2 linked regions of the Saccharomyces cerevisiae S288C genome follow. The protein of the gene in region 1 interacts with the protein of each later gene in a pairwise test. Each region holds a gene or a part of one and is shown on either strand. Other genes may lie near its edges.

The links. Proteins that work in one complex are often made in the same cells at the same time.
Region 2: the proteins of YNR065C (region 1) and YDC1 interact in a protein complementation assay, tested with the Saccharomyces cerevisiae proteins (one large-scale study listed by BioGRID).

The regions. Positions count from the first base shown.
Region 1 is NC_001146.8:747,312-757,412, forward strand, and holds YNR065C (uncharacterized protein), read right to left. Parts: upstream 6,390-10,101; coding exon 3,039-6,389; downstream 1-3,038. Other genes in the region: PUL4 (Pul4p), read left to right, coding at 1-1,455; YNR064C (epoxide hydrolase), read right to left, coding at 1,825-2,697; YNR066C (uncharacterized protein), read right to left, coding at 6,414-7,724; DSE4 (endo-1,3(4)-beta-glucanase), read right to left, coding at 8,435-10,101.
Region 2 is NC_001148.4:381,848-384,908, forward strand, and holds YDC1 (alkaline dihydroceramidase), read left to right. Parts: upstream 1-1,607; coding exon 1,608-2,561; downstream 2,562-3,061. Other genes in the region: YPL088W (aldo-keto reductase superfamily protein), read left to right, coding at 118-1,146; Elongator subunit ELP3, read right to left, coding at 2,926-3,061.

The DNA.
Region 1 (10,101 bases):
ACTTCTCTTCCGATCGATTTTGATTTCGATGAGTTTAACACTGAGACAACAGATTTCGATGACTTTTTAAAACTATTAGGCGATAATTCACCTTCAAAGGAACAAAAAAGTCTTTCCTATTCACCTACTGCTACAGGCTTAAGCGGTGTGGTTAAAGAAACTGAGAGCGAAGATAACGCTCCTACGAGGTCTCGGCTAATCGATGTCTTGTTTGAGAACAAGCTTCACTCCGTACCAGGAATATCAAAATGGCATCTATATGAGCTGGAATCCCAATACCCAAATTTGGAATGTACAGAAGGAAATAGTGATGAAAAGTTTTTACTTTCAACTGTATTGTGCCTGGGGTCGTTGACCATACGAAAAAGGGAACTATTGAATCATTCGAACATAGACAATCGTCCACTTTTGCCGGAGAATAGTATTTCAAAACTGACCACTGATGCTTTTAAGTACTATAATGCTGCGAAAACGCTTGTTCCCGACTTGTTATCTCATCCCACAATCGATGGATTTTGCGGCCTCGTTCTAATGGCAAATTTCATGACGATGATGATATCCTTAGAGCACCAATTATATTTGAGTATAAATGCTTTACAACTTGCTGTGGCTTTAAACTTGAACAACAATACAAAATGCAAGGAATTACTTGAGTCGAACAGCGACGGAATTGGTGTGATCTTGCTTTTTTGGAACATTTGGTGTTCTTCTTGCATGTTGGCAACAATTCATGGAAAAAATCCTTTTATCACTTTGGAACAAATTACAACACCTCTGCCGTGTGAAATATCCCCCCGCAATAAAACTAATAAACTTTTGATAGATTTCATGCAAATCAGAATCAAGCTAGCCACTCTACAAAGTAAGATTTTTCAACGGCTATATACTTCCAGCACCGCAAACGAGGTACCATTCGTAAACTTAGAAAGAGAATTTGAGGAGGTTTCACTCCAGATTACCAGGTTAAAAGGCTTTCCGATATTCGAAGAACATCTTTTTTACAGGAGCAGAGTCTTAATGTTAGAGCTATCATGTTTAAGAGCTCAAGCTTCTTTTCTATTATATCGTCCGTATCTGATCACTGGAGAATCCTTACAAGCAGTAACCATGGCAAAATCAATAATTCACGAAATATGGAGTCAATACACTAAACAGTTTCCCGATAACGAAAAGGAAAGGCATGAACGTTTGGATTGGAATTTTTGTTATCCTTTAAGAACAGCGTCACTGACATTATGTATTTCATGTATTATACTCCTAAGGTATAAGCAGGTGGTGCAGTTCCTTAAAGGTACTGAACTATTTGAATACATTCTAGCATTGGAAATATTGCAAGATTTAGTTCAGGTACTTCCTATTGAACAAAACCTTATTGATATAATCAAATATCCGATCAGTCCAGTACAGCTGAGTGGTGATAGCTTTGTCGAATTTTGGGGTCGCATACTTTACTAAACCGTTTCCTAGCTGATTTTTTGACACTTTATTCAGAAATGACCTTTTGAGATACAAGTTTACTAGGGGAAAGATCCATATGACATGGTAGTAGGTTTACCCTTCAAAACAACATAGATCGTAAAAAAGGTGGCTGAAGAACTTACTAAAAATGTTATATGCTTAGATTAATATATTGTCACCGGGCTACCAGTACAAACCCTTGATAATGCGACCAGACATCTGTTTTGACTTATTTATGAGCAATAATGGGTAACAAAAGAACGCTCTGAGGCAACTCTATGTGAGTCGAAACATATGTGTTTTTGGCAATTAAACAAAATACGAGAGATTCTTCTCAGAAAACATTGTCACAAGAACTTAGTATCTTTAATTTTCTGCAAACATACTGATGATTTCTTCGGCAATAGCAACTACGTGAGTTTCAAGCGCAAAATGGCCAGTATCATAGTAAACAACCTTTAAATTATCAACGTCTTTCCGATAAGCTTCAGCCCCGGCAACGCTAAAAATAGTATCATTCGCACCCCATGCAACTAGCACAGGAATCTTTGAATCTCTCAAGAACTTTTGAAAGGCTGGGTACAACTTTATATTATTCTGATAATCGAAAAATAATCTCAATTGAATATCGGTCTGGCCGGTACGCTGAATTAGCGCAATATCAAGCGTATAAGCGGCGGGATCAACAGATTCGATAGCTGGTACTCCATCATGGTACTGGCATATGACATTAGCTGGATCTTCAAGGTACGGGATAAGGGATTTAACAAATACCGGATCACTTTGATATGACTTCCAATATTCCTTCAACGGACCCCAAAAGCGGTCATCGAGACCCTCTTCGTAAGCATTACCGTTTTGAGTAACAATGCCAGTAATTCTGGAGGGAAACTTCAAGGCTAACCGAAAACCTACCGGAGATCCATAATCAAATATATACATGGCAAATTTTTCAATACTCAAAGTATCTAACAAATATCCTATACTTTCACAAAGGGAATCAAAGCTGAACTTGTAGTTTTCTGGCGTTTCCGTAAATCCGAACCCAGGAAGATCCGGAGCAATGATGTGAAACTGTCCAGCTAGTAAGGGAATGAGGTTCCTGAACATGTTGGAAGATGTAGGGAACCCATGTAGCAATAAAATTGTGGGGTTACCTGCTGCACCGGCCTCACGGTACCAAACCTTTACACCGTCTTGAACTTGAATCTTGTGAAATCTTGCAATGATATTTGACATTTTTGTCCTTCGTCCAATTCTGACAGTGAAAGAAAAGTGGTCAAGTTCAGTTAATTTGATCGTGCTTATATATGTTCTTTTTGGCTCCTATCACTTTTGGCTCCTATCACTTTTGAAATTTCTGTCACGATTATGTGCGGCGCAGTCCCTAGGCAAGTTACAGACGAATGGCATGCAGCGCCGTCTGTGGAAAAGATGAATACTGAATTATCATACCTTTAAATGACTATGTTAATAACAAAGGTGAATGGAGATTTAGAAAATGCACAATATTGAGAAAATGCATATGCGTACTTTTTGTTAGCAAACATACGATTATTTAGTCTATTAAAAAAATCTATTTACTCGTCCTCGTTGCGCACAGCAGTTGAATCAGGCTTGTGAATAGCACTACGTGCTGGCAATGCGTCTGGAATATTGCTAGTGGCAGGCTGGTCTATCTGTGACGTGTGCTCTTGTTCGGGTCTGTAAGCATCTTCTTGTTCAATTTCAAAATTACTGTCTTGACTTGTGAAACTGGATAAATCGTTAGCATCTTCATGCAAGCCATCTGATTCATCTGAAAACTGACCCTGAAGCAGCGAAGAGTAAGTAGGACCTTTTCTGTTGCCAAACCTTGCCCTTAATTTTGAAGAAAAGCGTGCTACACCTGCCTTCGTGCGTTGAAATGCAGACTTGGTAATTAAAGAAATGCATAATCCTAGTCTTACAATGATGTTGACAACTCTATCGGTCCTATTGTTTTCTATCAGCCCATCGTCTCCTAATCTTATTTCTTCAAATCTTGAAAATCCCCCATTTCTCCTGATACCTCTATCGTATACAAACCATGCGGCAAAGAAAATAACGAGAAGAATTGTAACAAAAACCAGCGCATAAGCGCCGGTGTTTATAGAATATTTTTCCCTGAATGCCTTTTCTTTTCCCGGACAAGGATGTGGTGCTAAATGTGCATCCAATTTCAGCCCACCTTTACAGGTTGATAAGGGAATTTTTCGATAGCCAGAGGAATCATAGTATTCAATTAAGTCGGGTTCCTTTTTGCAGATATCGGCACCATTCGCCGAACTTAAGCCTTTGACTAATTTACAAGTACCATCACTGGCTTTATAAAAATTATAGTCACATTCGAAATCTTGCCTCGTACATGAACAGTTTTTGACGTTCCTCGAAAATTCAGAAAGTGGAATATTCCCAATAAAACATTTTTCATCGGTTTTACGTAAAAACTCGGTTTGATGACCAAATAGACAACCAGTTCTGGAACCCAGAGGAGAGTACTTAAAATCTGCCCTTTTTTTACCCGTAATATCAAACTCACATTGCCTCTCGAAGATGTTTCTAAAATCAATTGTATACGTTCTGAATGAACCACTACCCATGTTTTTTGCTTCTCCAAATAGCAAAAACCTCAAAGCAGAATCTCTGGGAACGGTGATTATATCCTTTACGAGGACTTTGTCGCCACAGAATTTATAATCTTTCCATGTTTTACCAAAATCGGTGGAGTAAGAAATAGAATCAGTTTCTGCGTTTTCGGGGACCAAAACCAAGACTCCACCATGATCACCGTACTCCCATTGATGGGGGCCTTTTTTAACCTCAGTCCACGTCTCTCCTCCATCAGTGGTTAAAAAAGTGGAACACTCCTCATATGGTAGAAGCTTATCGCCAACATTTCCGACACCAAACATCATTCCTAACGCGGAACCGGAGGAATATGTATCCCTGATATCCTTACGTTCAGTGTAACCATGCAAATGTAGAGAACATTTATCTAATGATACAGAATCACAGGGAAACTTTTTCCCTTCCGAATCCTTCTTTGGAGGCTTCAAAAAGTTCCAATCTGAACCGTCATTAAAGGTGATTTTCGTCTTCAATTGTTCGTCTTCCTTGTTCTCTCCAACCTTTTCCCTATTCGAAACGATGTTGGTAATAATAATACCTTCAAGACCTTGAACTTTTTCAAAGTCGACATAACCGAATGTGTTTCTATTAACGGCATGCTCTAAAGTGACAAAAGAAGTACCATTCGAGTTGGATTTCAAAAGGTTTCCAAAATCGTGTCCTGATTCTAAGTTTGTTGCTAAATGTAAAAATATCGATCCTTTCTCAGATCCTAAAATAGTGAATGCCTCTTGCTTACTAACATCTTGACCATACGGGAATTTTGCCTCGGCAAACTCAGTACCATCAATAGTTACATATGCCCTCAACTCATTGTCTTCATGAGGTACGGCAACAATAATATAGCCACCAGTGGACAAGTAGCCGATAATGTTTTCAAAGATAATTTTATTATCACCTTGGAAAAAATCTATCGAAGAAACCAAGCTTCTTGTTTCTGAAGACTTCTTTTTTACTTGGCACATAACCATCTCCTCATTTGACGGATATTCAAAGAGTGTGCCTGCAAACTCACAATGAATTGCATTATCAAGCATTTCTGTAAAAGTTTCACCTCCATCTTTGGTGAGGTATGCTACTGCATGACATTCTGGACTTAAGATTGATTCACAATTCTTGCCACCATAGTAAATAAAAGTATCCTGTGCTTTAGCACTAAAATCTAGTGGCATACCTAATTGCCTGGCTTCAGGTAATTTAGCTATCATAAAAGAGTGTCCTCTATCGTGTGTTGAGAATATGTTACCTTTAGAGCCAAACAAATATGCTGAAGAATTGAAATATGGGTTAAACACAACTTCAACAATTTTTTCGCCGTTAGTGTCAAACCTTTTTATTGTTTGTCCACCATCGTGGGATATATAGGCGTCTCCTATCGAATTCAGCATGACCAAAGATTCGTCGGCAACTGTATCGAAGTATTGGTAAAATTTAATTTCGAAGTCAAATTTGTTTTCAGTGGTCACTATTTCCCTGTCACTCGAACCCTCCTCTGGAATTTCGTCACACGGAATATCAACGGGTTCAATTTTCATGGGTGTTTTACATTCATCACCTTTGATTAATTGTAATGGCTCTACTAACACAGATTTATCCTTCGATTTGTCACATATGTTGGAAAAGGCAATCAGATTATAATCTGGTATACACAGGCCGTTTGCGTCCCTAACAAATTCAAACGAACATTCGTAGTCGGATTCACCACAACTATTACAAGGCGTTTCATCTAAACTCAAATCTTTGAATGCTTTTTTTACCAAACACTGGGCGTCTTGTTTCCTCCTTCTATACTTGTATTTGGCGCCATTAACACATTTCCCATCCGCCAAATCCCAATCTTCAAAATCTTCCTCCTCACACGTTCTAGAGTCGAATGCTGCTGAAAAATCAATTATATACTCGACACCTTTTAAAGAAGTTATACTGTTGGTTTCGGAATCGGTAGTGGCAAACGTTCCTTTAAAAATAAATTTTGAGCCAGATCCATCTGGTGTTGGATTTATCAATTTGTAGGGATGGACAGAACTTATGGCATTGGTCAGCTCATATTCATTCCATGTTCTACCTTGGTCCAAAGAATAATAAAATTCAGATTGAAAATCGCCATCTTCCTCTGGATCATATGGGATATACACAATAATATTTCCCAGGTCACCAGTAGCATATAACCCAGAAGAATTATGAACAAATCTCCACGTTAAACCGCCATCTCTAGAGATGAAAGTTTTTTGGTCTTCCCAATCGAATTCACTACCGTCGCCAACGGAACCTGTCATTAACATAATTCCGGCAGTAGGATTTGAGATTTAGATACTATAAAAAGGGTTCTGGAGCGAACATCTTTCAGGCCTAGTGATATCACAAGGGAATGAATCTGCATTTTCCTCGTCAACCACTTTCAAATTTGACCATGTGAGGCCGTTATCAACAGATATTTTAGTTTCATATCTGGCTATCTTTTTATTATATTTTCCTTTGTTATGAGAGTAGTCAAAGGAAGGATGAAACGAGCCAATTATTGTTCCTTCTAAGAAATGAGGAGAAGCAATATCAATATAACCAAAGTGAGGATTTATTGTCCATTCAACAGGTAAAAATTTCAACCCTTGAGAATCTGATATTAAAATTTCTGAGGGAGCTGGTTGGTCGTTTTTTTCATCTGTGAATATCGTAGATATAGGAATGATTATTCTTCCAATAGAATCTTCATAAATTCCATACATATGGACGTGCCGTACTTGAGCAGGTAGACGTGCCTTTTGAAAAGTAGACGCATCATTGGATATCCAGATGTCCATGGGTGACATTTCATTGTATCTATCATCTTGTGTCGAAACGATTATATGTGATTTTAATATCTTGTATTGATAAATAATTTTATCATTAAACTCATCAAATTTTTTGAAAGTTTTACCTCCATCAGTACTTAAGGCTAATTGTGTATATGCGGCACTTAAGTGACGATCGCTATCGTAACCATGGTTCGAGAACAAACATAGTATCGAAGCGTCGTTACCCTCAATATCAGAATCCTTGCTAGATTTGACAAAGTTGCAGCTTGAACTTGTTATATGGTCATCTTCTTTCTTTTTCAAGGAAGGTTCGATATTGTAAAAGGATTCCCCATCGTTGGTAAAGTAAGTTTCATTTTGTATTTGGATATAACCATTGTCGTTTATAAAGCAAGGGCAATCTGCAATAAGGTACTTTTTATCTGTCGGATGGGTAGCTATAGAGCAAGAAGTACCCAAACGACAGTTTTCAGAGACGGGTATAGTCAGAGCCCTCCATGATTTTCCACGATCATCGGTGACGTAAAATTTGGGTGATAAATGTATCGAAACAAAAGCCCTGTCCTGTCCATGCAAAGGATCAACAATTAATTCGAGAATATGCCCTTCAATTTCTTTGACCGCTTCCCAATTTTCTCCAGAATCGGAACTTATCCACACGACTTGATTATCTAATCTGATTAAACTGTTGGAATCGTCAAAGCTCTCTAGACTAAATGAATATTCTGAAAGAGTCTCCGTTACTTTGGGGACGAATTCCTCTGCATTGAGTAACGGAATAAAGAGACATGTCCAAATCGTGCATATGACTTGGAGTAATATCATAATTGAGGATCTCTTACCTTTTCTTAGTTCAAAGCTTTTTTTCAAAGCTCGGAACTTTATGCTACGATTCAATGACTAAAAAAAAGGTAGCGGATAATCTTTTGGTTGCAAATTGGCGGCATTTAAATATATTTTGGGTTGCAAATATTCTAAAAATATTCTCATAATATTCTAAAAATATCTAGCCTAGGTAATTGCAATTATTTTGAGTCTGGTTATTTTGAGTTGACCATGTTCACTTCCTTTTCAGTCATCAAGACAACGTGTTTACCATCTAATGGGGAATCAAACAGATAAAACTAGAAACTGAGCAAAAATACTTTGATTTGCTAATGTCGCCAGTAGTACGATAATACTATAAAGATATGCTGTTGAAGCTGATATTTAAAGAATGAGAATCTCTAAGGGATCATAGTCTAGAATGGTATTCTGCAAAACAAATTTTAAATGGTGAAAACTTTTCCTCACTATGTCCAATTGATGCTTCTTAGGATGACGTTAGAATTTTATTTTAGTGCAGGCATTACCTTGCTAAGTTCATTCATTAAAGTACTAATATACCTCTTACTGGCATGCATTTACCTAAGTGGTCTCCGTTAGCCGTGGTCTTTTCGAACGCAACAACTTTCAAGTTAAGTAAAAATGATTTATTCTATAAAATATGTATGTAGTGGGAAAGACTCGACAGACCTGCTTGCCAAGTTCTCTTTCTAAGCAATTGAGTTGGCCAGTCCCCCTGAAAATGCTAATGCCCATGTGCGACTCATTCCGTTATCCAAATATGTGGATGAATCAAAAGTTGAATCACTGAAAAATGCATACGAATCTACTGGGTCGAAGAGTGCTTGATTCAGCTTCAATATGCCTGTCCAGCCGCTTTCTATCGATTCAATAATTGGCTCGATTTTAGTCTGCCATTCTTCTTCGACGAAAGTCTCAGAACGAATATTAGAAGAAACTGGTGTGATAGGTAGCATATGAATACCGTGGATATATTCTGTGTTTGTTCCAAAATAAGTAGTATAATCGATAATATTATCGAATAAAATACCACTCACTTTATTTCCTATGATTTCTTCAGGCTCAACTGTGTTGTCATTTTGATAATAGAAATAGTCGTTCATTGCATCCTTCATTATACTAATCATCAAGTCACCCCTCAATTCCATTGACTGGTCACCGATAGTGGCCCCCCATAACTTCATAGCATAGGCAAAATTGTAATCTTCACTACTACTTTCTTCGTTCTTACCGTTACCGTTTTCATAAAGTCCAGCTGCCCATGAATGACCGTTGAACCAATCAAACATTCTCGATTGTGCAAAGTATTCATCTTTTTCAGATGGATTTGCGACATCTCTTACCAATGAATTGACCCAATCTTTATTGTCGGCAGCCCAAGTACCATTCAGTTTAGAGTCAACATAGCCGATGACAGCAGCTGCATGAATAATGTAACCATAATGGAAATGATGGTCATTGTAATAAGTGTTACCAAAATCGTATTGCGTGCTGGTGGAACCCCAATCTCCTGAACTGACCAAACCGTTGAACTTTGTGTCGTAAATTAGTGGATACGTCTGTTCATTTTGTAGCAGAATATCAAAGGCCGATTTGATGTTTTCCAAAGTACTCTTAGTACTGGCTTCATCTTGGATGATTTCGGAGACCGTTAATAGAATGTAAGAATACTTATCGATAACTTTACCCAAATAATATGTGTTTAACCCGCTTATACTTTCGGAAATACTAACCTGTAATTCGGAATTGGCAACTTCAGCTAATAATTGCAATTGTTCTTTAGAATACTCTAAAAGGTTTGAGCCAAGTTGAGAAGACCATGGTAACCAAGATATTTGTCTGTTTAGAGATGTGGAAAATTGTAGGCTCGTTGTTAGATAACCGTTCATTACACCCTTAGTTGTAGAAGCGAGTTGAATGCCGGTATAGTAGTCTTGCATTATATCACTAAATGAAGATTCATGATGGGGCAAGGCAAAAATCATTGTGCTACCTGATGCCGACTCACCTTGGGTGGTATAAGAAAATTCATAGGTAGCTGTAGAACCGTCAGAGACACCCTGCAGCTTGAAATTAGTAACGTACATACCTGCGGCTTGATCATAAAAGACCTCGTAATCAGTTTCAGAAGGTGCGACGGCCAATTGAATGATAAGACCATCAACACTAGCGCTTGCTTTAATTTCATATTCTGAGCTCACCTCCAATGAAAAGTCCGTTGAGGTTAAATCGTCTGGTCCTATCACGTAACATAACCAAGTGACTCCATTCAAAAGGGTGATACGATATTTGAGAATACCCTGAGCTAAATTGCTTGATGATTCAGAAACAATGGTATTGAATCCGACGCTGGAAC
Region 2 (3,061 bases), on another chromosome or scaffold:
GTATATATATATATATATATATATATATTAGGACCCAGAGAACAAGGTATCATATATTAATTGTCTTGCCAACTATGTAATTTGGCTGTTACGGAAGACCCACATCAGGCGGCAGAAATGGTTTTAGTTAAGCAGGTAAGACTCGGTAACTCAGGTCTTAAGATATCACCGATAGTGATAGGATGTATGTCATACGGGTCCAAGAAATGGGCGGACTGGGTCATAGAGGACAAGACCCAAATTTTCAAGATTATGAAGCATTGTTACGATAAAGGTCTTCGTACTTTTGACACAGCAGATTTTTATTCTAATGGTTTGAGTGAAAGAATAATTAAGGAGTTTCTGGAGTACTACAGTATAAAGAGAGAAACGGTGGTGATTATGACCAAAATTTACTTCCCAGTTGATGAAACGCTTGATTTGCATCATAACTTCACTTTAAATGAATTTGAAGAATTGGACTTGTCCAACCAGCGGGGTTTATCCAGAAAGCATATAATTGCTGGTGTCGAGAACTCTGTGAAAAGACTGGGCACATATATAGACCTTTTACAAATTCACAGATTAGATCATGAAACGCCAATGAAAGAGATCATGAAGGCATTGAATGATGTTGTTGAAGCGGGCCACGTTAGATACATTGGGGCTTCGAGTATGTTGGCAACTGAATTTGCAGAACTGCAGTTCACAGCCGATAAATATGGCTGGTTTCAGTTCATTTCTTCGCAGTCTTACTACAATTTGCTCTATCGTGAAGATGAACGCGAATTGATTCCTTTTGCCAAAAGACACAATATTGGTTTACTTCCATGGTCTCCTAACGCACGAGGCATGTTGACTCGTCCTCTGAACCAAAGCACGGACAGGATTAAGAGTGATCCAACTTTCAAGTCGTTACATTTGGATAATCTCGAAGAAGAACAAAAGGAAATTATAAATCGTGTGGAAAAGGTGTCGAAGGACAAAAAAGTCTCGATGGCTATGCTCTCCATTGCATGGGTTTTGCATAAAGGATGTCACCCTATTGTGGGATTGAACACTACAGCAAGAGTAGACGAAGCGATTGCCGCACTACAAGTAACTCTAACAGAAGAAGAGATAAAGTACCTCGAGGAGCCCTACAAACCCCAGAGGCAAAGATGTTAAGTTAGATTTTCATGGGCCCACTGATATATAGAAGGCTAAATAACGAGAATCATATATACTGTAACATGACACCTGCTGATTTTTACTGATCGTAGCCATTCGGCTCATATTACTTCATGTCCCTTTTTTAAATCCCTCGTTCCCGGAGAGTGGCATAGCATGTCCGATAGCGTACGCCAACCTACAGAATCAGGGGATCAGATTTCCTGAAAGCAACTTATCCATCAGTTTCTTTTTATAATGCCATAATGACAGGTGTGCCTTTCTTATTTTACTTCGCTTGCTTTCTTTCTATTGCATGCTTCAATCTTTGAATATTTGCTAATAGTGAAAAAAAAAAAGGAAATAACTATCTGGTTTATCTGCATTGTTCTTCGTTTTTCAATTCAAGAATTTAAGCAAAAGGATATATCATAGAACCTAGTGAATTTTTAAGAAAGTAAGATAAAGAAAAAAATCAAATGCTGTTCAGCTGGCCTTATCCAGAAGCCCCGATTGAAGGTTATTGGGGCAAGCCAACTTCTCTGATTGATTGGTGCGAGGAGAATTATGTCGTATCCCCCTATATTGCAGAATGGTCAAATACTATTACCAATAGTATATTCTTAATGACCGCCTTCTATTCTACATATAGCGCTTGGCGTAATAAGTTAGAAACAAGGTATATATTGATAGGAATGGGGTTCTCGCTGGTTGGTATTGGTTCGTGGTTATTTCATATGACTTTACAGTATCGTTATCAATTGCTAGACGAACTACCAATGCTGTATGCGACCATCATCCCATCGTGGAGTATTTTTGCAGAAACTCAAGAAATCTTGATTAAGGATGAGAAGAAAAGGAAGGAAAGCTCATTTAGAATCCAAATGGTCATTTCTTTTATCATGTGTGGTATAGTCACCATTTTAACCTGGATTTACGTTGTCGTCCAAAAGCCAGCAATTTTCCAAGTCCTTTATGGTATATTGACGCTTCTAGTTGTGGTTCTTTCTGGCTGGCTGACCTACTATCACGTTCATGATTCATTTGCAAAGAAAAATCTTTTTATTACTATGGTTATGGGCATGATTCCTTTTGTCATTGGGTTCATTTGCTGGCAACTAGATATTCACCTGTGTTCTTTTTGGATCTATATCCGGAGAACATATTTGGCCCTGCCATTAGGTGTTCTATTGGAACTGCATGCTTGGTGGCATCTTTTGACCGGTACTGGTGTCTATATCTTCGTCGTGTATTTGCAATATTTGAGAATATTAACCCATGGAAATCCAAATGACTTCTTATTTATATGGAGGTGGGGATTTTTCCCTGAGCTGGTAAGAAAGGGCTTACCGATTGGTACTTCTTATTCACTGGAGTATCTGGGGCCAATTGTAAATACACAGGTAGATGATGAAACAAAAAAGAATAACTAAGGAGTGATTTTGTGCCATCCATTTGAATCTTCAAAATATATGTACGTATATGTTATGTATGTATATAAATTGTTGTACGTGCAATTGACCGAACGTGTATATTTGTATATAGATATGTGACAAACTAAAGAGCTTACACTTCGTTCCTTCCCTTCTGTTCACCTTTTTTTATTATGCCTGACTATTCTAAAATTTATGTTTATGTGGCGTAAAATATCTTTCTTCTGAAAACACATGCAGCAGTTACTCCCATCATAAAAGGAATTAATAAATGAATAGTATAAACAATTATTTACTTAAATATATTTAAATTTCTGCTTGGAAAACCGGCCATGTCGGCGGCACATAAAAGTTCTATTTACCTTTAAATTCTTTTCGACATGTATGGACCGTCTAGTTCATATCCTAGTTTACCATAGTAATTTCTTACACCAACACCAGAAATAACAGAAATTTTCTCTGAACCATGCTCTTCCTTGGCGATTCTTTCCGCTTCTTCC